Linked DNA regions of Saccharomyces cerevisiae S288C. Changing the gene in region 1 together with any one later gene gives a genetic interaction. Each region holds a gene or a part of one and is shown in the gene's direction. Other genes may lie near its edges. The genes, in order: AHP1, TSA2, GPX2 and GPX1.

Region 1 (5,957 bases):
TCTAAAAAAGTATTGCATGCGGCATTAAAAGACAACATAAAACATCTAAACGGTAAAGTATGATCGATAATTCTCCATAATAGTTCTGTTATTTATAATCTCCAGCACTAATAAATGCTATACGTATATTTGTACACAATATAATTTCAGAATTTATATTGCTACCATGACTGTCTGAGAATTGGGGGAATAACTTGATAATTGTTGGGATTCCATTGTTCGTAAACGCAATAATATTAGGTATATAGAAGATACTAAATGTTCTCTCCGAGGATATAGGAATGCTCACAATGGAATCGATATATTTCTACATAATAGTATTGAGATTATTCCTCTTTTAGTTTTATATAATTCATTATCCTATTACATTATCAATCCTTGCATTTCAGCTTCCATTAGACTTAATGACTGTTTCTCAATTTTTATGTCATCTTCCTGGACCTCATGTGATACTATACCAGTAGCATGAATACTACTGAATCGATGATACTTTAGAGTTTCATTGCAACAGTTTCAACACAGCCTGGCATGAACAGTGGTAAAAGTATTTCGTCCACTATTTTCGGCTACTATAAATAAATGTTTTTTTCGCAACTATGTGTTCGCGAAGTAACCCTTCGTGGACATTTGGTCAATTTGAAACAATACAGAGATGATCAGCAGTTCCCCTGCATAAGGATGAACCGTTTTACAAAGAGATTTATTTCGTTTTTTTTTTATCATCGAGTGAAGTATCGTGACTTGTACATTTGAAGATACCCAGCGTACAGCAGTGTATCTTTATCTTCCTGTATGATATAGATAACTAACATCTCGAATAGAAAATTGTCTCGCGTTCGAACCTAAGCCTTTGCTATCGGTTGAACATAGAAGACCGCGTGATTCATTTTAGTGCGTAAGAATGCTATTAGTACTTATGTGCTTTATGAATGTGAATATTGTTACAGCTATGCAATGGTACGATCATACTCTGAACGATCCATTTAAATTATATATGTCAAACAGAAGAGAAAGGTTTTTTTATTGAAGATTTCACAGAAAATCAATCATTTTGCAATATTCCTTCGTCCCAGAGAAGGTTTCGGCTTTTACAGCAACGAGAATGATTCTTCCATTATTTGTACCTAGCTTCCACATGGATTTCGATAAGTGTAGTTTCAAACCATGAACGCAATTCAAAACTTTCAAATTGGTGCAATCCAAGACCCTCCCTTTACATTTGGAGTCGTTAACTAATGAGAAAATATTACAGCATTTTGCGCCATTTACCGTCAAGTCACAAATGGAGACACATGCAGGAATAATTAAGTGGGATTCAACTTGCATTTGACTGTCACGAAGTTTGACCTTATATTCGGACAGATCAATTTTAAAATCTGGGTTTTCCAATAAAACATCCGAGAACTTGTTTTCAAACAACACTGCAGCCTCTCTGGATAGGTCTACATGAACAGTCTTATTCTTTTTGTTGAATATTATTTTGCACTGGTTAGAGTGTAATTGGAAAATAAGATCGTGCGAAACTGTATCGATATAAGGCCTTTGGTATTTTAACATGCTCCAGTGTCTTTCAATACAATGTTTTACCTTTTTTGTTGGAGGTTCATATTCATCATTGTTGCCTGAATCAGTCTCGGTTTTATGAAATCCAGTAGCGGCTTTTTCACCCTCAGTTCCATTGAGACAACTGCTTACCGCTAAAGATTGGTTTCCGGTATGAAGTGATGTTAACCTTTCAATGGTTACACCCTTCTTGGAGACGCTATCAAGAGCTATGCAAACTTCTTGACAATTAGTTAAGGGATTATATATAATTTTTGCCCGCACTAATTCCTGCTCCAACCTGTTGAGACGGTAATAACGACACTCTTTTATCAGAGATGCGGTTCTTTCCTCAGACAGTTCTAATTTGGAACCGCCCAGTAAAGATAATATATCTCGGAAAAATTCTGGGGACCTTGCAATATATGAGGGTGGTAATAAAGGTGGAAAGCCCGGCTTCTTATTTGACTCCCACTTCTCAATTTCCTCATAAGATATGCGAGAAATCGTTTCAAAATAGTTCAACCGGTTCCCTTCTTCATGGAATAATGATTTTGGTACCTTAAAGGGAACACCTCCAATATTAGTGAAGTGGTAGTCGTATTCTTTTATGAGTTTAACTAACTTGGGTAACTGAAAATATAATGCGTCCGCGAAAAGACAGGTAAATTGTACTTCGTTCTTAATATCGGGAAAATAACCTTGTAAATGTCTGTATATTATGATGAACACGTCTTCCGATCTATCAACAAATAGAATCGTATTTTTATCGTGCGTATTGAAGAATTGGGTGAAAAAATTGGGCGCATCCGAATTCAATGTAGCACCTGAGATCTCAAATAGCTTTTGGCCAATCCTAATCTTGAAAACTTCATGGTTTGGTAAAAGCTCGGGGGTAGTTTCTAACTCTTTTGTATAAACCACGATCTCGCCCTTTTGGCCAGACATCTGATATGAGCGTGCGTGTGAGTGACTTTACACTTGTCTATCCACGTCCTGAAGTTGTTCGTGTTCTTTGGATATTCGTGTTCAAGCTAATAATGAGCCTTTAAGGTAATACAATTTATAAACCACCACCTTGGCCTCGATCTATTGCGCTTATGTTGTCTATTAGTAATCAAGAAAAGAACCCTAAATCATCGGCGTCCCCTGTGGGGCTCTCGGAAAAACCGGTCCTGACGTCACTGAAAAGATTTCGGCACATGGTCATGGGACCAGAGAAAAATTAATCCGACATGTGGAATATTTCCTTCCGTTAAGGTAGTGAGCGCGGATTTTTTCTGATTTGTAATTATACGGGGAGCTCTGGCCAAAAAGGTCAGTATTTGGTGATGAAGTTGAATATCATCTTTTGATTTTCTTCTGTATCATTCTTTTTCTTTTTCCACACCCCTTCCGGACGGTATTCACATATTGTTGAGAGGTTAAATGAAAAATAAAGGGGTGGAAAATTAAGGACGAGATGTAAGGGAAAAGCATAAACGAAACATTATATAAAGGAGCACAATTTCCTCTCCCTTGCCAATTGTGCATATACCGTTTCTTTATAACGAAATTTCAACAAACCAGAACAACACAAGTACTACCAATAACCACAACAAAACATGTCTGACTTAGTTAACAAGAAATTCCCAGCTGGCGACTACAAATTCCAATACATTGCTATCAGCCAAAGTGATGCTGACAGTGAATCTTGTAAGATGCCACAAACAGTTGAATGGTCCAAATTAATTTCTGAAAACAAGAAGGTTATCATTACCGGTGCTCCAGCTGCTTTCTCCCCAACCTGTACTGTCAGCCATATTCCAGGTTACATCAACTACTTGGATGAATTAGTTAAGGAAAAGGAAGTTGACCAAGTGATCGTTGTTACTGTTGACAACCCGTTCGCTAACCAAGCGTGGGCTAAGAGTTTAGGTGTTAAGGACACCACACACATCAAGTTTGCCTCCGACCCAGGCTGTGCTTTCACCAAATCCATTGGTTTCGAATTAGCCGTCGGTGACGGTGTTTACTGGAGTGGTAGATGGGCCATGGTTGTTGAAAACGGTATCGTTACTTACGCTGCCAAGGAAACCAACCCAGGTACCGATGTGACCGTTTCCTCAGTCGAAAGTGTCTTGGCTCATTTGTAGATGCTATGTAATAGACAATAAAACCATGTTTATATAAAAAAAATTCAAAATAGAAAACGATTCTGTACAAGGAGTATTTTTTTTTTGTTCTAGTGTGTTTATATTATCCTTGGCTAAGAGGCACTGCGTATACTTCAAGGTACCCCTGTGTTTTGAAAAAAAACAACAGTAAAATAGGAACTCCGCGAGGTTCAGGAACCTGAAACAAAATCAATAAAAACATTATATGCGTTTCGAACAAAATTAAAGAAAAAGAATAAATATAGATTAAAAAAAAAAAGAAGAAATTAAAAGAATTTCTACTAAATCCCAATTGTTATATATTTGTTAAATGCCAAAAAAGTTTATAAAAAATTTAGAATGTATAAATAATAATAAACTAAGTTTACAACAACAAAGCAGCGGCACCAGCCAACAAAGCACCAGCAGCTGGCAAAGCCTTAGCAGCAGCACCAGTGTAAGAGGTGACAGAGTGAGTTGGAGCAGCAGAGGTGGTGTTCTTTGGAGCTTCAGTAGAGGTAACTGGAGCAGCAGTAGAAGTACCGTTCTTTGGGGCTTCAGTGGTCAATGGGCACCAGGTGGTGTATTGAGTGATAACGTCATCGACGGTGACGGTAGCGGTGGAAACCAAAGCTGGGGAGACAGTTTCAGAACAGACGTGGTCTTCACAAGAAGTGATGGTGACCAAAGTGGTAGATTCTTGGCTGACAGTAGCAGTGGTAACGTTAGCAGCGGCAGAAGCGACAGCGGCGACAGCGGCGATAGAAGCGACAGTAGAAAATTGCATTATTGATATAGTGTTTAAGCGAATGACAGAAGATTAATTTCTTGGTATGTTAGGAAAGAATAAAGGAGAATAAGAATAATTAGAACAATGTAGGATGGAAAGAAAGATTATCAAGCATGCCGACTTTATATACTTGAACGGAGGCAAAGGATGCAAAATTTTCTCACATTTCTTTCTGCCGTTATGTTGGAAGTAAGACTCCCATTATCGCAATACTGCAACACGAATATGCAAAATTTGCTGAGTTATCGCAGATAGTTGTTGCAAAGATAGCGGCGTAGGTGGCCGCGAAATGGGGAATTCCAAAACAAACGGTTTTTTTACTCCTGAGAAATACTTGTACGGGATAATCCAGGGCCTACCACCCACGCTTCGAGGATTGGCTTTTATTTTTTTTTTTTTGGTGGCGTTTTATTTCTTTCCCGCTTTCTGGGACTTGTGCGGAGTTTTGAGAGGGGCGCGCGGCAAAGGATTCCCAAAACGGAAATCAGACGCCAATAGCCAGCACTCAAAGCAGTTCTGGACCCATTCCGATTTTCCCATTTGGTTCTTGCGCGTGCTGATTCCGACACGCGCGTCTATAAATAGCATGAAGTATCCGCACACCGCAGCGTTAGTGAGGTGAGGGTGGCAGCAAGCTAATTCCCGCATCTGGAATCTGAACTGCCCCTTTTGGACTAACCGTGTGGTTCATGGGTGGGCGAAGTGCGCAACCTCGAAGGTTTTCTTTTGCGTGTCGGATTTTACATCCGGCGGTAGCGCATGATGCCATGGCTGGCTCCAGATACATCCTCAGGGCACCAGCATCTATAATTAGATTGGCGCAACATGGCTGGCTGCACTGCTGTCTTCACTTCTTTCTTTTTCCGGCAATGAATGATGTATGTTTTGTGGCAAAAGGGTCCGCATTGTACCTGTTTACAGTTGAGATTATCGTTTTTGGTAGCCCTTCATTACGGCATAACGTATTAAGTTTCTTTTATTTTGCTTTGCCCTGGTTTAAAAGACAATGTCGATTAAAAGTTAATTTTAATCGATTGAAGGAAATAAGAGGAATAGCGCAAGTTGTTAGGAAAGCGTTCTTTATCTCCAAGACTTTGCCCTGTATATAATTAAACACCTCAAAGCGCTTCGTCATGGATGGAGATTATTCGGCATTTTGACATACAGGAGTGCCACATGCGAAAGCGGAGTGGGCGTATTCTCTGGTTACCCTACATGGTCTGGCGGCGTTATTATACGGGAGGATCTTCGAAGGGAAGGAAGGAAAAAAAAAAAGAAAAGGCCAACGAAAAGCAAATATTATCTATCGTCGAAATTATCATACTATCTTACAATAAGAGTAGTAATTACTTTCTTGTTTGTATAGTGGAAGAGGAATTTGCGATAATAATAGCAAAAGTAACTAATCTCTAACAAGAAACCTTATTTATTTTCTCTTTCTTCTATATTGGTAAATACTAGACTCGAAAAAAAGGAACAAAGGGAAAACA
Region 2 (6,221 bases), on another chromosome or scaffold:
CAGTCTTAATATTTAAAACTTCTAACATTCCTGCAGTAGTGCCCCCAAAAATGATAACTGTTAAAACAACAACAACAAGGACCGTTGCCAATAAAGTGAACTTATACTCACCTTGAATTCCCAACGCCAAGGCGACACCAACAGCACCACGTAAACCTGCCCAAAATGTCATCATTTGGTAATTGTAGGGTATTTCATCGGGAACAGAAATATTTTCTCCGGTTATGCCGCTCATAGATCTGATTGTCTTTACTCTATATATCCAGTTAACAAATTGCGACAATGGGAACACAGCACACCAACGAGCAACACATATAGAAATAGCTGCCACAATAATTAGCAGTGGCTTATAGACTAGTTCTACTTCAGTAAAAAGTTCTAAACCTAGATAGATAAAGATGAAATTCTCTGATAATCTTGCCAATAGTTGGAAAATATACTTAATGGTGATCTGTGATCTTCTTGACATGTTATAATAGGCGTAATGTTTTAAAGTAATTCCGCAAAATAACAAGGAGACGATACCGGACATATGGCAACCGTTGGAGAAAAAATAGGATTCATAAGCAATCAACAAGATCAAACAACTCTCAATTTGAGGATAGCGCCTTATGTGAGTGTGTTTCAACAGAAGAGCAACAAGAATTCCTATAAGAACGCCTATCAACAACGAAACGGAGAAAGTCATCAAAAAGAGGCCTGCCCCTTCAAAAACCGACGAAAATGTTGCAGGTTGACCATGAAATTTTTGACAGGTTTCAAACATAACAATAGAGATGGCATCATTTAACAGTGATTCTCCAAAAATGATGGTATATAGCTTAGGATCCACTTTATACGCATTGAAAATTGAAAGAATTGTAACAGGGTCGGTAGCAGATAATGTAGCACCAACAGACATTGCATCTGCGAATGAAATGTCAATACTCTCTAGTCCTAAAAAGGTCCAGATATACAATATGATTCCAATAACCACAGCAGATATGAAGGTGCCCGGTATGGCGAAAATTAAGATAGATAACATATTATTGAAAAAGTTCACTTGATTCAACTCGTACCCACTATTTAAAATAATTGGCGGCAATAGAACATTAAAAAAGTAGGATGAATTAAAAGTAACCGTATCTTGAATATAATGCCCGGGGGACATCCTTATTATCAAGCCAATAACCATACCATAAAAAATAGAAAGCACAGTTTCATGCACTGCCCTAATTCGTTTCTGAGTTAAATAGTAACTAGACCACAATGCAGAGATCAATAGGAGCAACATAATGAACAATGCCCATGAAGAGAACATTTCTTCTGTAACAGGGTTTAAGTCTACATCAGGATCACCTGCAATAGGGTCATCGCTACCCGGGAGATCCGGGGAAGGTAGAAGTTCATCATCATCGTCAGGATCAACTGCTCTCTTGGCGGTGGTTAACAGCACCTTGAAAGCTATATTCAGCAATACCTTGGATAGCATTTTTCATATGGTATGTACTGACAGCGATAAAAGATTATCCTCTGAATTTCACTGCTTGCAATCTATGTTTAATCTACAACTATTTGTCAATCTTGGGTGCCCTTTATCTTAGAGTAGCTAGAAAAGCAACGGAAACAGAAAAAGTCACACCGTGAATAATGATTGTTCGATATCAACTTTTGCAGTTCCTTGCTATCACGTTTGTGCAAGGTATATCATCTGTCATAATCCTTTGGCAAGACTACTGCTCTGCTACTCCTTGTGTGTGCTCACGGCAGGCTACAATGCAAAATTCATCCTAAACTCTGCTCTATAAGCATTAATAAGGTGAAATTTTCACAGCCTTTACATAAAAAACGACAGTAAGTGTATAAATGTGATTGTCAAAACTGCGACGATTCGAAATGATAGCTATTTGAAGTGTAGGTTATATCGACAGGAAGTTTCGGTTCTCGAAATATGTGATGCGTCTTTCCGGCGGCGTCGATGCTAATAGCAACCGTACTCATCGGTACATTCCAAATTTCGAAAAAAAGCTTGGAAACACATAAAAAAGAAAAAAAAAAATACATTTAGCATAAATGGATACACAATGGCGTTTCTTTTTAGTTGATAACTACAGTTTACTTCGGATAAAGATTAGTAAACCTTTGCGTTATGTCCCGTCCTATCGTAATTTCTGGCCCAAGTGGTACAGGTAAATCTACACTGTTGAAGAAATTGTTCGCTGAATACCCAGATTCTTTCGGGTTTAGTGTTTCATCCACTACTAGAACCCCAAGAGCTGGCGAAGTAAACGGTAAGGACTATAACTTTGTCTCCGTAGATGAATTCAAATCTATGATTAAGAACAATGAATTCATTGAATGGGCGCAATTCTCCGGTAACTACTATGGTAGTACTGTCGCTTCCGTCAAACAAGTCAGTAAATCTGGTAAGACTTGTATTTTAGATATTGATATGCAGGGTGTCAAATCTGTCAAGGCTATCCCAGAGTTAAATGCCAGGTTTTTGTTTATTGCTCCACCATCGGTCGAGGATTTGAAAAAAAGATTAGAAGGTAGAGGTACGGAGACCGAAGAATCCATCAACAAGAGGTTAAGCGCCGCTCAAGCTGAATTGGCATATGCTGAGACAGGTGCCCATGACAAAGTTATTGTCAATGATGATTTGGACAAGGCCTACAAGGAATTGAAGGATTTTATCTTTGCAGAAAAATGATGTAGCCCTATATAGACATTACTAAGTATGTACCTGGTAGGAGAGTGCTGTCGCAAAGCGACAAAACGTCCAATTATTCAATTAATATAGTGTAAAAGTTCTCAACGGGCTTATGCTAGTTTTTTTTGTTAGTAAGCGCTACGACGACTAGAACCATCTCTTGAATTTCCAAGTGCCAAAATCAATGACCACGGATACTGTGGCCAGGAATCTGTTGGTTGGTCATCCTCAAGATCTAGACAATATCATATTGGGCCAGTATCTGATTATCTTAACTATATGCGCCCCTCTAGTTTACAAGTTTTAGTCATTGGGGGTTGGAAGGGCTGATCCCCCCTTACAATTGGCGTCGTTTAGGAGCGGGCGAGGCTCTCCTTTCTCTTACACATCTGCTAAGGTGTTTGTTACCCGAGTAATCAAGGATCAACTATGGATGAGATTTAGATTAACGTATTTAGAGCAGACGATTGTAAGAATATATTTTGTAATTTCGATTGTTTTTTGCTACTTACATTGTTTATCTTGAAATATCCAAAGTGAACACTATTACTGTTTTTTGCTCAAGAATATATTAGCCTTACAAGAACGTAAAAAACCAATCATGGTAGCAGAAGTTCAAAAACAAGCCCCACCATTTAAGAAAACCGCCGTAGTCGACGGTATCTTCGAGGAAATTTCACTGGAAAAGTATAAAGGTAAGTACGTTGTTCTAGCTTTTGTCCCATTGGCTTTTTCATTTGTCTGTCCAACTGAGATTGTTGCGTTTTCCGATGCCGCCAAGAAATTCGAAGATCAGGGCGCCCAAGTTTTATTTGCCTCCACCGACTCTGAATATTCCTTACTGGCATGGACCAACCTTCCCAGAAAAGACGGTGGATTAGGTCCAGTTAAAGTTCCTTTGCTTGCTGATAAGAATCATTCCTTATCCAGAGACTATGGCGTTTTGATTGAAAAAGAAGGTATAGCTTTAAGAGGTTTGTTCATAATCGACCCGAAGGGAATCATTAGACATATCACTATCAATGATTTATCTGTTGGCAGAAACGTCAATGAAGCTTTGAGATTAGTCGAAGGTTTCCAGTGGACTGACAAAAATGGTACAGTTTTGCCATGCAACTGGACCCCAGGAGCCGCCACCATCAAACCTGACGTTAAAGATTCCAAGGAGTATTTCAAAAATGCCAATAATTAATCTTCGCACGATAACGCTAGGCCCTATTAAATAATTAAAAATACATCACCCTATATATGATAAGAAAGATGGTTTTGTATTATTATGAAATTGACTTGAAAGAATAGTGTAACAAAAGAAAAAGAAACTGTAATTGAAGAATGATATGCATTTCTATGTGTATATTAACTTAATCATCTTTATATCCAGAAGACGCAAATGACCATTCGACGTATTTTTCCCATGCAGGTTTGTTTTCGTATAATCTGCCTGCAAGATCCAAATAACTTCCTACTGTTAACGAATCCATTGAGTATGGTTTCTCGTCTGAGGTATATTCTATCTCATACCTGAAAATATCCTTAGATTCAACAAATGAATTATGTAATTCTTGATTGATTTTTTCCAAGTCGGCGTAGAATTGGACGAAACGCGTCGGAGTGAATAACTGCGGTACATATGCAGGGCCGAGTTCGTATTTGTCTGGCATCTCAATTGGCATAGTCTTGTCATTTTTCTTTTTCTTCTTGTTTTTCTTTTCGCCCATCTTCTCGCGGTTGATCCCAACCTCGATATTACTGCTGTCCATTTCATCTTCTAGCAAAGAGTCTTCCATAATCTTATTTAGTGACTCGAAAAATTCATCCCAGGGCTTATACTCCGAAACTGCAAAATTGGAGTCATTCACTATGTCGGTGATGTTATATTCCCAGATCCTAAAGGAAGGATTGAAAGTTGGAATGACTGAACCACCTATGTTCACAATGGAATAGCGTTCAATGAGCTCTTTTCTAGTGATTGGCTTTTTCTTTTTTTTGTCCTTCTTTTCTTTCTTTTTCTTCTCATTTTCAACATTTTTTTCATCCACTCTTTCCAGCTTATTCCACACTTTCCGATAGTATGTGTCGCGGACGGTGTTCATATATGCTTCTTTGTTAGATGGTTTCGCTCCCATTAAAAAAACTTCTTTTGCCGCCATAGCGTGATCCAGAATTCTATTCAATTCAGTTTCTTCGTCCTCTTCATTACTGTCTTCTCCTTGTTGAACACGAGTGGATTGCTCCATGGCTTTCAATAACGATTTTCTAGCTTTTTTACCATCCGTTGGGATGAAGTGGTCAATATTCATGTGACCGTATAATCCTCCAATGATTATATCCCTGTATTCGTGAGTCCATAGCGTGAACTTATCGTAGCACGACTGATCGAAATTTTTTGCGATTGGAGGTACATGTCCACTTAACCATACTTTCATTCCCCTACTCCTTAGTTCTTCTAATACATAACCGAACCAAAGTAAAAGTTGGTAACCTGGTTCTTTTTTTGAATTACAATTGTCAACTAACGGATTGGCCTTGAATAAGTACAGCGTGTTAATTGACAGGACAGCAAGCTTCCCTGGAATAACTTCAGTCAAAAATGAAGCACTCCTATCAAAAGTTCTTTGCTGCTGCTGCGGAACAAAATTTTTCCAAATCCTATAATATTCTCTAGTTTGTAGAGTTGGTCCTAGTGCAAACATGTTATGTGGAAAGACATCATTGTTTCCAAGACTTGGAATGACAGACACATCAAAATCTCTTGGATCTTCTTCATTGCCAGCACTAAATAATTCTGTCATTTTATCAGCAACGATATTGTTCATATCAAAAATTTGTGCTTCTGTTCTTGGATGTTTCCGGTCATTGTCATGTCTGATATTATCACCCGTCCAAATGACAAAATCAATCTTATCTCTAAGATTTTCTTTAATCCATCTCAGAGTTTCTTCCATTAAAATAACGGGAGAATCACATCCAGACATTGCCTTCCCAAACTTGGGTGCCACATCCTTTTTTTTGCTTGGTTTTCCTGTGTGACAAACTGCATCAATAGAGCTTCCTTCCACATAATAAGGGTCAGGATGAATATCGGTAATATGAAGGAACCGTCCATGTAATTTTCTCTCCTTCCCTGTCTTTACGTCTTTGATAATTACTGGCTCCCTAGGTGTCAGTCCTAGCCTTGTAAATTCTATGTCATTGAGCAATTGAAGTGACTCGTTGTCCCCCCTGTCATCTAAGAATTTGGAGAAAACGGAAACATATTGAAATTTAGCACCAATTATAAACACGAGGAAAAACAAAACACAGGTCGACAGGATGGCAATCAATGATTTCTTCTTCGGCCTACTCATGCTTACATTGCGCACTTCACTCTTACCCACTACAACCATCGAAAAGCAGCTAACTAGCTCTACCCCTACTCAATGAAAACAATAGCTGGAGACAAGGAGATCAAAAAAACTTTATAATTCTCCAACCCAACAACCAAAAAAAATATTGATCTGTTGATTTTAGCCTTCTTCTGACTTGTATT
Region 3 (5,981 bases), on another chromosome or scaffold:
TGTTGTTCCAAGAGAGAAAGATATTCAGCAACTTTTGTTCTCCTGTTATTCCCTTAATCAGGAAGCAACTTTAAGGGAAATCCATTTCATCCCTCACACTTCCCATCTTTTCTCGGACAACCTTACATTACGCCTACGACGTATGACTACACAAGCAAGTTCGTTTTACAGACCGCGTATCATTGCTCGTTACAGCTCTACCAAAAGTGTACCGAGCACTGTGCCCAGAAGCTAAGCTTTTTTCGCTAACATATATATATATTTAGGTAAATCATTTACACTTTTCGTCGATCTAAAAGCTCATCGCATTTTTTCGGTCCTGATGTTAAAAATTTATTTCGTTTATTAAAAAAAAAAAAAACATTACTGAAACGTATAAAAGAAAAGTCTTAATCTATAAATATGGTTTTATCATAATTAGACTGTTTTACTCTGTCCATTGGTCATTATAAAGCCTGAAAATACCCACTGAATGGTTTTTTTCGCAGGAGCAAACCTTTTCCATTTCTAATAAACCTTCTGCACTATTTTTATTCTCATAAAAAACAATTGTCAAAGAAAGCCTACATAAAAAAAATATGACAGCAACGATCACAAATAAGAAATCATGCTCTGGTTCTGTTGAGGCAGGAAAGACACGTTTAACAACTGAATGGAAGCCTGAAAGCCAAGTACCCCAATATGTTAAAAATGAGCTCTCTAAACCCCATCCAAACTATATCCTGGCGTTTTTGAACGTGGTACAGCAATTAAAAATTCAGAGAAGAACCGGTTATCTTGACCTCGGTATTAAAGAATGTGAAAGCATATCAGATCACATGTACAGATTGAGCATAATCACCATGCTGATCAAGGATTCGCGGGTTAACCGCGATAAATGTGTCCGGATCGCATTGGTGCACGATATCGCCGAATCTTTAGTTGGCGATATTACTCCAGTTGACCCTATTGGGAAGGAAGAAAAGCATCGTCGGGAATGGGAAACCATAAAATATCTATGTAATGCTCTGATCAAGCCATACAATGAGATCGCGGCAAAGGAAATTATGGACGATTGGTTGGCTTATGAAAATGTCACCTCATTGGAAGCTAGATACGTGAAAGATATCGATAAATATGAAATGCTTGTACAATGTTTTGAGTACGAGAGGGAATACAAAGGAACGAAAAACTTCGATGATTTCTTTGGGGCTGTAGCTAGCATAAAAACAGACGAAGTAAAGGGCTGGACAAGTGACCTTGTCGTGCAGCGCCAAAAATACTTCGCCGATTTGACTCAATCGATAACTAAATAATTATCATAAATACCAACTTTTGCGTCATAAAAGTACAAAGTAACTACCAATACATAATCTTCAACGTACTGTCCATAGGTTGTCGTGGCCAAAGATGATAGCGCCTATAGCGTGTCTTCCAAGTAAAGCCAAAATTCCAATGCAGAATTGCAACTTCAAGATTGTATTGCACAATTTGTCTTCCCTCATAGGGCCAAACCATACTAATGTCAAGTTTATTAACGTCATATTAGAGGTGCTAATAATCTCATTATTTTCATCAAATTCCAGGTCAATCAAATGGAGACAGTATAGTAACTTCAAGATCGGTTTAAAAATGCTCTTTGGCGGTTCTTCTTTTAAGTTTGCTCTTGATGGATACATTAAACCGTCTTTTTCATTAAATTTAGGTAACCTATGTCTCGGGCAGGGGACCAATTTGAATAGCTGAGGACATGAATAAATAAAATTAACGATTTGAGGAATGAATAGCAAAAGCATCGTCTTTGAAAAATGACCCAGTATACCAACGACTGCGAATACCATTCCAGCGAAATAACAATATGTATCTCCCACAAACACTGTGGCGGGCCAACGATTCCATTTCCATAGCGCCAAGGATACACCCAAAAATGGGATAATCAAAACAGCGGAAAACCTATGGGAGTCTCTTGTGGCTAATGGCCCCATCGAGAAGTACAGCAAATCGTTCAATAGCGCTAAGATGGCCAACACTATACATTGGCCAACCTCTAAACCATTAACACCTGCCAGGATGTTGATGGAGTTGGGGCAAAAAATTGCCATCGATGCCATATAAACATAATACCACAGCCCCAAATCAACACTAGTCTTTTTCAACCAGCGTTCCATGAATCCGGGAATAAGTACATGCGTAACTCCAAAATCCACATAATAAACCATTAGCAGTGGGATGGCTGCAATGGCAGGCAAGAAAAACTTATGTCTCCAACGTAAATCAAATAAATCATCAGCGATACCCAAGAGGACCGTACTTTCCAAGCATAGGATAGCGCTCAAATATTCAGATAGTTTATCATGAGGAAAAATATTAGAATTCATACCGTTATCTTCAACCACTGAGACATCGCGATGGCCCCCACCTGAAGTGGTTATGACCATATACTTGTAGAAAATGAAGGGAATGTAAATGAACATTACAAATAAATAAACTGCAGCAGGGATAGCACCTATTGTTTCTGGAAGCACCGGACGGCCAGGTTTACTCAAGTCCTTACCGAATAGGCCTATTTTGATGAAGGATTTGCCCACACGTGGAATCAACATATCTGTAGCTAAATAGCCTGCTATACCAAATCCCACGGCCGCAACAAGAGCAGATGGGCCCTGATTTTTGGAATAGTAGATTAAGCATGTGATAAGTGCCAGTGAAAAAAGTCGCAACATATAGTCTACTTTTTGTTACCGTTCTCCGCCTTGCTCTACTTGATAAAGTTTTTATTTACATATTTCACAGTTATATACACATGTTAACAATTTAATTTTCGCGCTGTTTAGTAAAGCATTTTTCGAGATTGAGGCAATATAAAAGGAAAGGGCCATATACAGGAGATGAAGGAAACCTGTACTATTATTGTATTAAACACATGGTAGTAGCTAGAAAAAATTCATGCATCAACCTCTGTGTTTGTATTCGTAACATATAAATCCACAAGAAATTTTTTACTCATCATCCGCTAAAAAAAGGAAAATACGGACGTTACTTACTAAATGTACGACGAACATGTACACAAATCTTGACTATTTTTGATAGATGCAGTCTCTTGAAATGACCAACGACTCAGTAGTGTTTTCCAAGCAATTTTACTTTCAACTGTTTAATATTTTTTAGAGGCTACTCGGCCGGCCATATCTAGACAATTAGTAATTCCGATGACAAAGAGTTTAAAACCACAATATCTGCCACACATATCGTGAAAGGCATTAGTTCCATTGTCTCCGTATTAGTGCAAAGCCCCTAAGCCAGCCTGCTTTAAAAAATGTGCAGGTACTTTTGTTATTGTTTTGATATATAAAGAACTACTATTTGCTAATATGTGATGTAGCGCAGAGAACTTGCATTTCCCTGCATGGCTGACCTTGACAAGAATACAATTAGCAACAAAAAGTAATAATTCAAAATGACCACATCTTTTTATGATTTAGAATGCAAGGACAAGAAAGGCGAATCTTTTAAGTTTGACCAACTGAAAGGCAAAGTAGTTCTCATAGTTAATGTTGCCTCCAAGTGCGGCTTCACGCCGCAGTATAAAGAATTGGAAGAACTATACAAAAAATATCAAGATAAGGGGTTTGTTATTTTGGGGTTCCCATGTAATCAGTTCGGGAAGCAGGAACCGGGCTCTGATGAACAAATTACGGAATTTTGCCAGTTGAATTATGGCGTTACATTCCCAATTATGAAGAAGATTGATGTTAACGGAAGTAATGCTGACTCTGTCTATAATTATTTGAAAAGCCAAAAAGCAGGTTTACTAGGTTTCAAGGGTATCAAATGGAATTTTGAAAAGTTCTTAGTTGATTCCAATGGTAAGGTTGTCCAAAGATTTTCCTCCTTAACAAAACCATCGTCCTTGGACCAAGAAATCCAAAGCCTGTTAAGTAAATGATATCTTTGTCTATAATCAAGCAATTATCCGGAACAATAAATAATACATTTATAGATTAGTATGATTATATATTTTTCTTCAGAAGCATGGTGTAGGATATATTAAAAAAAATCGAAATATAAAAAAAGAAGGTTTAATGAGTGGTTTCGTTTTCCGGAATTTTCTCTGCTACCAACTGTTCAGTTCCAACATTCGACGTATCCTCAATCTTCGCTTTTTTGCTCTCTACTCCATCAACGTTCTCCTTCTCATTAGCGGTCTGATCTGCAAATTCTTCCCTTATCCTTTTACCATTTTCATCTTCTTTCTTCATTCTATCTTTAGTGGCGTCATCCAATACAATCCCTGCGTTAAATTCCTTTTCCAAGCATTGCAGTAATGTATTTCCTCTTCTGGCTAGCTCTACAGGTGTCCTGCTTCTGAAGTAAAAGTCTAATTCGAATAGGGGACAATCTCTAATTTCATCACGCACTAATTCGTATACGTCATCTCTATCCAAGCCATACTTGAATAACATGAGAAGGATAAAACGATCTTCTTCTTCAGAGTACGTCCTTTTGTTGTTAGAAGAAGGAGGATGTTTTAATTTCAAATCGAAGAATGGATTCTTATACTCAGACAACTTCCGACGTAAAGCCTCTTGTTGCATTTTGACACGCTTGATCTTCTCTTCTTCATTCTCAATTATTTTCAGATATTTCTCATAATCTTCAATTCTTTCAATGTTAGACCAGAAGGCCTTAGCATATGCGCGAACTTCCTCTAGTGTTTTGCCAGGGGCCAATTCTCTCGCAATGGCTTGAATGGAGTTCCTACCGTATTTACCAGATACCGTGATGAATTTTCTAAATTCTAATTTATTCCAATTTGTAAATCCTTCAGACTCCCAATCAGCCTTCATCTTTTCTTCCTCTTCAGTTAATGGTTGCGAGTTGTTAACCGACAATTTTAACAATTCCAATTTTTGTTTCTTTTCTTCTTCATCTGAAATATCGCCATATGCTGCTTTTACGTCATCCATGGTCGGTACATAACCAGTCTTCTTCGCCGTCCACATTCTTTCCTTTTCGTACAGGACTTTCAATTGGGGAGGTTGTAATTGATGGGAATGGAAGACATGAGGCTTAGGCATTCTGGGGTGTGATGGGGTCGAGGACCTTCCTGTATTCAAAACATCTTTATAATAATTATCAATAGAGTAATTTTCCTTACGTTCACGTTTGGTGGGGTTGAGCAGTAGCGGACTTATAATATCCCTTTGTATTTTCTTCTTGAAATCTTGACCATTCCATTCATAGGCCGAATCTTGGTTGAATTTTTGCAAATCATCAAGACCTAAAGTTTCATATTTTGCATTTAATGACTTAGTTTTGTTTTCTGATTTCAGTAAAAGTTCGTCCAGATCAATATCATCTCCTTTTTCTCCTGAACCAGGTTCCGGCGTACCAGCTGAACCGGTAGATGTACCACTTTTGAATACATCGGCGGCACCATGTTGAATCATGGATAATAAAGCATCTTTGGAATCTGCTTTATTTTCCTTCTTTTTCAAAGAAGTCCTGTTTTGCTGGATAACTAATTGATCTAATCTTAACTTCTGGGTAGCCCTTTCTAAAATTTTCTCTTCCACGGAGTTATCTGTGACCAAACGGAATACCTTGACCTGCTTCTTCTGACCAATACGATGCGCTCTATCCATTGCTTGTAAATCTGCTTGTGGGTTCCAATCTGAATCATACAAGACAACGACATCTGCTGACGTTAAATTGATACCTAACCCACCTGCACGTGTCGTTAATAAGAAAACAAACTTCTTAGAATCAGGAGCATTATAATCATCAATGGCTTGAATTCTATCTTCGTGAGCGGTGGAACCGTCGATCCTGCAATATTCATAGTTTCTGAAGTAGCAATAATCCTCGAGAATATCCAATAATCTTGACATTTGACTGAAAATCAGAACTCTAGAACCTTCTTCCTTCAATTTCTTCAATAACTTATCCAAAACTTGAAGTTTGGCAGCGTTATAAACCAAGTGCTCATCCGTAGTGTACGG
Region 4 (5,224 bases), on another chromosome or scaffold:
TCTTCGTGGGTGCTCATATCACTAAAATCTTCTACCTCGAGCATTACAATATGTTTCTCCGTATTCACGTTTTCTTCCCTTGGTTTCGATCCGCCCTTTTTGGTTTTCCTCTTTGACTTACTCTTGAGATTACGGGGGTCGGCTCCTCCAATAATGCCTTCTAAGCCGTTTAACAGTTCTTCTATATCTTCTTGAGCAGCTTCTGTCTGCTTCTTCTTATTCAATGCGGCTATCGTACTTTGTGAAGAGCTTTCCTCATGGGCCGTACGTTCATCATTATCATTCTTTAACCAATTAGAGTAGGCCTGCTGATCCGTGACGCATCTTTTTTGGCTATCAATACTGTCATCTAGTAGAAAACCCAATAATTCTTCTTTATTCATGCTTGCACGTTATACCTGGCCGGGATTGGGGCGCTATTCTTGCATTGTATACAATATCCTCATATAATGAACTCTTAATTAATGCGTCATCATCCCAACTTAACACCCCTCATATACCCTAAGTTAGTACTCTCAGACCTATAGAAATAAATGTATCAATATCATGACACCTAACTGATTATATTTTCAACCCTAGGTTTATTTTTTTCACTTTTCTTTTTCTTTTCTTTTTCACCACGTTAACGAAACTTTTAAGTAGTTATGGTGATCTTTTAAAGCGATGCATTCCTGTCTTTGCCTTTAGTCGCACACACCCTCTCCCGTTTTTATGTTAGCTTAGTTATATTATGAATCCACGCTACAGGTTTATACTGAGATTTTATTCTTCGAAAAAACCAACTTTCCACAATACAGCACCTTCGAAGACCAACGTAAACGTACCACGCGCTAACAAAAGTCAAAGCAAGGGTAAACACAAAGGCAAATTGTTGGTACTCGTAGGAACTTTAGCACTCGTGACATCAGTTATTTCGGTAAACTATCAAAAGAACGAACCAGTTGAATTTCTTGAATAAGACAAATGACAGCTGCCACTACATCACAGCCAGCTTTCTCGCCTGACCAAGTTTCCGTGATCTTCGTTCTAGGAGGACCCGGTGCAGGCAAGGGTACTCAGTGTGAAAAACTAGTTAAGGACTATTCATTTGTCCATTTGTCAGCCGGAGACCTTCTACGTGCTGAGCAGGGCAGAGCAGGTTCCCAATATGGGGAATTGATCAAGAACTGCATCAAAGAGGGCCAGATTGTCCCTCAAGAGATTACTTTGGCGCTTTTACGCAACGCTATTTCCGATAACGTCAAGGCGAACAAGCATAAGTTCTTAATTGACGGATTTCCTAGGAAGATGGATCAAGCCATTTCCTTTGAAAGAGACATCGTTGAAAGCAAATTCATCCTGTTCTTTGACTGCCCTGAAGATATCATGTTAGAGAGACTATTGGAGCGTGGCAAGACCAGTGGTAGAAGCGATGACAACATTGAGTCCATTAAGAAGAGATTTAACACTTTCAAGGAGACTAGTATGCCCGTCATCGAGTACTTTGAAACCAAATCGAAAGTCGTCCGTGTTCGTTGCGACAGATCCGTCGAAGATGTGTACAAAGACGTCCAAGACGCTATCCGTGATAGCTTATAGACTAAGACGTATTTTATATAGTTTACGCTATAAGTTACGGCGATATTATATATATATGTAAGAATATATACATATATATTAAAATGATTATATGCCCTCCCCTACATATCAGACCTTTACAGGGTAACCTTAAAATAAACTGCTAAATTATTTGGTTTATGAATTAAAAGAGCAATAATAACAATGGCGGGAGCACTGTTTCGATGATAGGTAAGCCTAAAAGACTAGTCAGACGTATCTTACGCCATGGACAAAATCAATCCTGATTGGGCGAAGGATATTCCGTGCAGAAATATCACTATTTATGGCTACTGCAAAAAGGAGAAAGAAGGTTGCCCTTTCAAACACAGCGATAACACTACCGCTACTACCATAAATGACGTTCCTCCTCCAATAGATGTGGGTGAGGCTACAACTCCGACCATGACATCAGTTCCTAAGTTCAATGCTAAAGTATCCGCAAGTTTCACTCCGATGACAGTCGGTAGTGACTCCTTAACCACTGTGACGAATACCACCTCCGCTGCTACAAATGCTACTGGCAATATCGCCATGGCAGCTACCTCTGCTACTGCTTCTACAGTTAATCCGATGATTAATCCGATAGTTAATAGCTCGTTAGTGAATAACAATAACAATAATAGTAATATAAGCATATCAATACCAACTACCGCTTCGAGTTCCAATTACGACCCCTTCAATGCCCCCATTTTCACTCCGTCTTCAACCTCCTCAATTCACACTAATGCAAATGCACATTCTTTTCCATTTCCCTCCATTGCAAATTCTGGTGGCATAAATATAAACGCCACTGATGATAATAGTAACAATATGAGTATGGCTAATAATGTGCCACCTCCTATGCAACCGCCACCCATAGAGAGTAGTAATCTTAAGTACCCACGTATTTATCCGCCTCCTCACAGTCTTCTACAGTATCACCTATATGCACCTGAACAGCCATCATCATTGAAATCATTATTAAAGCCTAATGAAAGGTCTGCAGATCAGCTTTTCATTCCAAACAATATTAGAGAAGATTTAACCAAGAAAAACTTATCGATTTTGCAGGTTTTCCCCTCTTCAGGTAAAGTTATACCAAGTATTGTACAAGATTATTTTAATTTGGTTCCATTGAACTTCAATAATAACGATTTTTTAAATAAAACTACGCTCTTCAAAGTTTTTTCCAATTATGACGGTAAAGCCTACGTTTTGAAGAGGCTTCCTAACATCGATAAGTCAATGAATCCAAACAAAATATCCAAAATATATCAGATATGGTCAAAAATTAATTGTACAAATTTGATAAAGTTTAGGGACATTTTTCAAACTACTAAATTTGGTGATCTGTCTATTTGTTTGGTCTTTGACTACTACCCAAACTCGCTATCTTTGTATGATTACCACTTTGTTAATTTCCCTAAGTTTCCAATAACGAATAATTATTTATGGATATATTTAGTTCAACTCACCAATGTAATAAACTCTATCCATTCACAAAACTTGAGTATTGGCAATACATTAAACTGGAGAAAAGTTTTGATTACTGGGGACCCAGGGAGAATCAAGTTATCACACTGCAATTTTATGGACCTTTTGTTCAATGATGATACTGATACCGTAGTATCTTCCGGCGGAAGTACCATAGAGGGACAACAACAGCTAGACTACAAATATTTAGGAGAGCTATTATTTAACCTATCCATTAATATTGAAAACTCTAATAACAACACTGCCCCTAAAGAATATCGATTGGAGGAAATAACCCCTCAATCAATTGATGACATGAGACAGATCGATGATAAGTTCAAGGATGTACTCAAGTATCTGATATCAGACAACGGCGATTCCAAAAAGAGCATTCATGATCTTACTAGTCACTTTTATGATAAGATGTTCATGGTCCTGGAATCGTCACAAACCTATACAGAATACATGGAGTCTGTCTTATCAAGAGAACTAGAAAATGGCAGATTATTTAGGCTGGTCAACAAGCTAAATTGCATTTTTGGTAGAATCGAATCAAGAATAGACATAAATTGGTCCGAATCTGGGACTAAATTCCCCATTATACTATTTTATGACTACGTATTCCATCAAGTGGATTCGAATGGGAAACCAATAATGGATTTAACTCATGTCCTAAGATGTTTGAACAAATTAGACGCTGGTATTCAAGAAAAGTTAATGTTGGTAACGCCCGATGAGTTAAACTGTATTATTATATCCTATAAGGAGTTGAAGGACTTGATAGAATCCACCTTTCGATCCATCACCCAATAAAACAACACCAAATAATGTAGATACACACATATATATTAATTATACATTAGTATCCCCTTGACATACCCCACTACCGTCTTCATGTGGAAAATTTTCCGTATTTGCTTTCCCCTTCTGTTCCCTAATTCTATAGGGTAAGCGATTCATCCCTTGTTCGCCACATCTAAGAGAACTTAAAGCCGGGGCTCACCTCTACTACAGAGATTGCTTATGGTGAACAATATTAAGTGATTATATAACACAGTAATGTACAAATATATTTTAGTCATGTAGGTGATATTGTGCACGGCGAGGTTCTCTGATTGTGAACCCGTATAAGGAATATAAGCGGAGAAACACAATATTTATAAGTAACGATGCAAGAATTTTATTCTTTTTCACCAATAGATGAAAACGGAAATCCATTCCCCTTCAACTCCCTGCGTAACAAAGTGGTTTTGATAGTCAATGTAGCATCTCATTGTGCGTTCACACCTCAATACAAGGAATTAGAGTACTTGTACGAAAAATACAAATCACATGGTCTAGTGATTGTGGCCTTTCCCTGTGGTCAATTCGGAAATCAAGAGTTCGAGAAGGATAAAGAGATTAATAAGTTCTGTCAAGATAAATATGGTGTAACCTTCCCTATTCTACATAAGATCCGTTGCAACGGGCAAAAGCAAGATCCCGTCTACAAGTTCTTAAAGAATTCAGTAAGCGGGAAGTCTGGAATAAAAATGATAAAATGGAATTTTGAAAAGTTTGTGGTAGACCGAAATGGGAAGGTGGTTAAAAGGTTTTCATGCATGACTAGGCCACTAGAGCTTTGTCCAATAATCGAAGAATTACTGAATCAACCACCAGAAGAACAGATTTAATTTGCGGTCAACGAAGTTGAAAACGGAAAAGTGGTGATAAGAATGAAAATAAAAGACATATAATTGAATAGTCTCTGTCACCCTTGCTATCGTATCAACAGTTGCTCTTCTATCTTGTTTTGCGTATGTATTTTTTCTAAGAAGAATATGTAGGTTTTAGTCATTTTTTGTTGATTAAGGGAATGAAAATTGTCCTAAAGAACCCTTTCAGTGGTTCAGCTTTGAGAAGTTTCAATATTGATTTCCGTCGCATGCCTCATCGTTAATTTTTCTCTAGTTTTTATTTATTTCAGAAATTCAAGTTTTTTACTTTCAAGAAATTAAATAATGTAATTTTACAAATAAACATAAACAAGTAGAAGTAAATGAAGAAGCATAAAAATAGTTTTCTATATGGTATGAGTCCGAAAAGCCTCCTGGAATAGTACGTAACTCTATGGAAGAAAATGCTTTATATGTTGGAAAGGAACAAGATCATCTGAATTGAGAGTAATAAGCTT

The links.
Region 2: mutations in AHP1 (region 1) and TSA2 impair growth when combined (synthetic growth defect), as found in Saccharomyces cerevisiae (one study listed by BioGRID).
Region 3: mutations in AHP1 (region 1) and GPX2 impair growth when combined (synthetic growth defect), as found in Saccharomyces cerevisiae (one study listed by BioGRID).
Region 4: mutations in AHP1 (region 1) and GPX1 impair growth when combined (synthetic growth defect), as found in Saccharomyces cerevisiae (one study listed by BioGRID).

The regions. Positions count from the first base shown.
Region 1 is NC_001144.5:365,635-371,591, forward strand, and holds AHP1 (thioredoxin peroxidase AHP1), read left to right. Parts: upstream 1-3,146; coding exon 3,147-3,677; downstream 3,678-5,957. Other genes in the region: YLR108C (uncharacterized protein), read right to left, coding at 1,033-2,490; CCW12 (Ccw12p), read right to left, coding at 4,063-4,464; YLR111W (uncharacterized protein), read left to right, coding at 4,757-5,089; YLR112W (uncharacterized protein), read left to right, coding at 5,157-5,576. UniProt on the Saccharomyces cerevisiae protein: Thiol-specific peroxidase that catalyzes the reduction of hydrogen peroxide and organic hydroperoxides to water and alcohols, respectively.
Region 2 is NC_001136.10:1,362,735-1,368,955, reverse strand, and holds TSA2 (thioredoxin peroxidase TSA2), read left to right. Parts: upstream 1-3,293; coding exon 3,294-3,884; downstream 3,885-6,221. Other genes in the region: bifunctional K:H/Na:H antiporter NHX1, read right to left, coding at 1-1,471; GUK1 (guanylate kinase), read left to right, coding at 2,129-2,692; PPN1 (endopolyphosphatase), read right to left, coding at 4,054-6,078. UniProt on the Saccharomyces cerevisiae protein: Thiol-specific peroxidase that catalyzes the reduction of hydrogen peroxide and organic hydroperoxides to water and alcohols, respectively.
Region 3 is NC_001134.8:704,092-710,072, forward strand, and holds GPX2 (glutathione peroxidase GPX2), read left to right. Parts: upstream 1-3,436; coding exon 3,437-3,925; downstream 3,926-5,981. Other genes in the region: YBR242W (5'-deoxynucleotidase), read left to right, coding at 579-1,295; ALG7 (UDP-N-acetylglucosamine--dolichyl-phosphate N-acetylglucosaminephosphotransferase), read right to left, coding at 1,356-2,702; chromatin-remodeling ATPase ISW1, read right to left, coding at 4,059-5,981. UniProt on the Saccharomyces cerevisiae protein: Glutathione peroxidase-like protein that protects cells from phospholipid hydroperoxides and nonphospholipid peroxides during oxidative stress. Plays an important role in the oxidative stress-induced response in the presence of Ca(2+).
Region 4 is NC_001143.9:388,880-394,103, reverse strand, and holds GPX1 (glutathione peroxidase GPX1), read left to right. Parts: upstream 1-4,220; coding exon 4,221-4,724; downstream 4,725-5,224. Other genes in the region: SKA1 (Ska1p), read right to left, coding at 1-383; MIN9 (Min9p), read left to right, coding at 731-958; URA6 (bifunctional uridylate/adenylate kinase), read left to right, coding at 964-1,578; PAN-complex poly(A)-binding subunit PAN3, read left to right, coding at 1,825-3,864; TCD2 (tRNA threonylcarbamoyladenosine dehydratase), read right to left, coding at 5,199-5,224. UniProt on the Saccharomyces cerevisiae protein: Glutathione peroxidase-like protein that protects cells from phospholipid hydroperoxides and nonphospholipid peroxides during oxidative stress. Has peroxidase activity using thioredoxin or glutathione as a reducing power. Involved in peroxisome formation.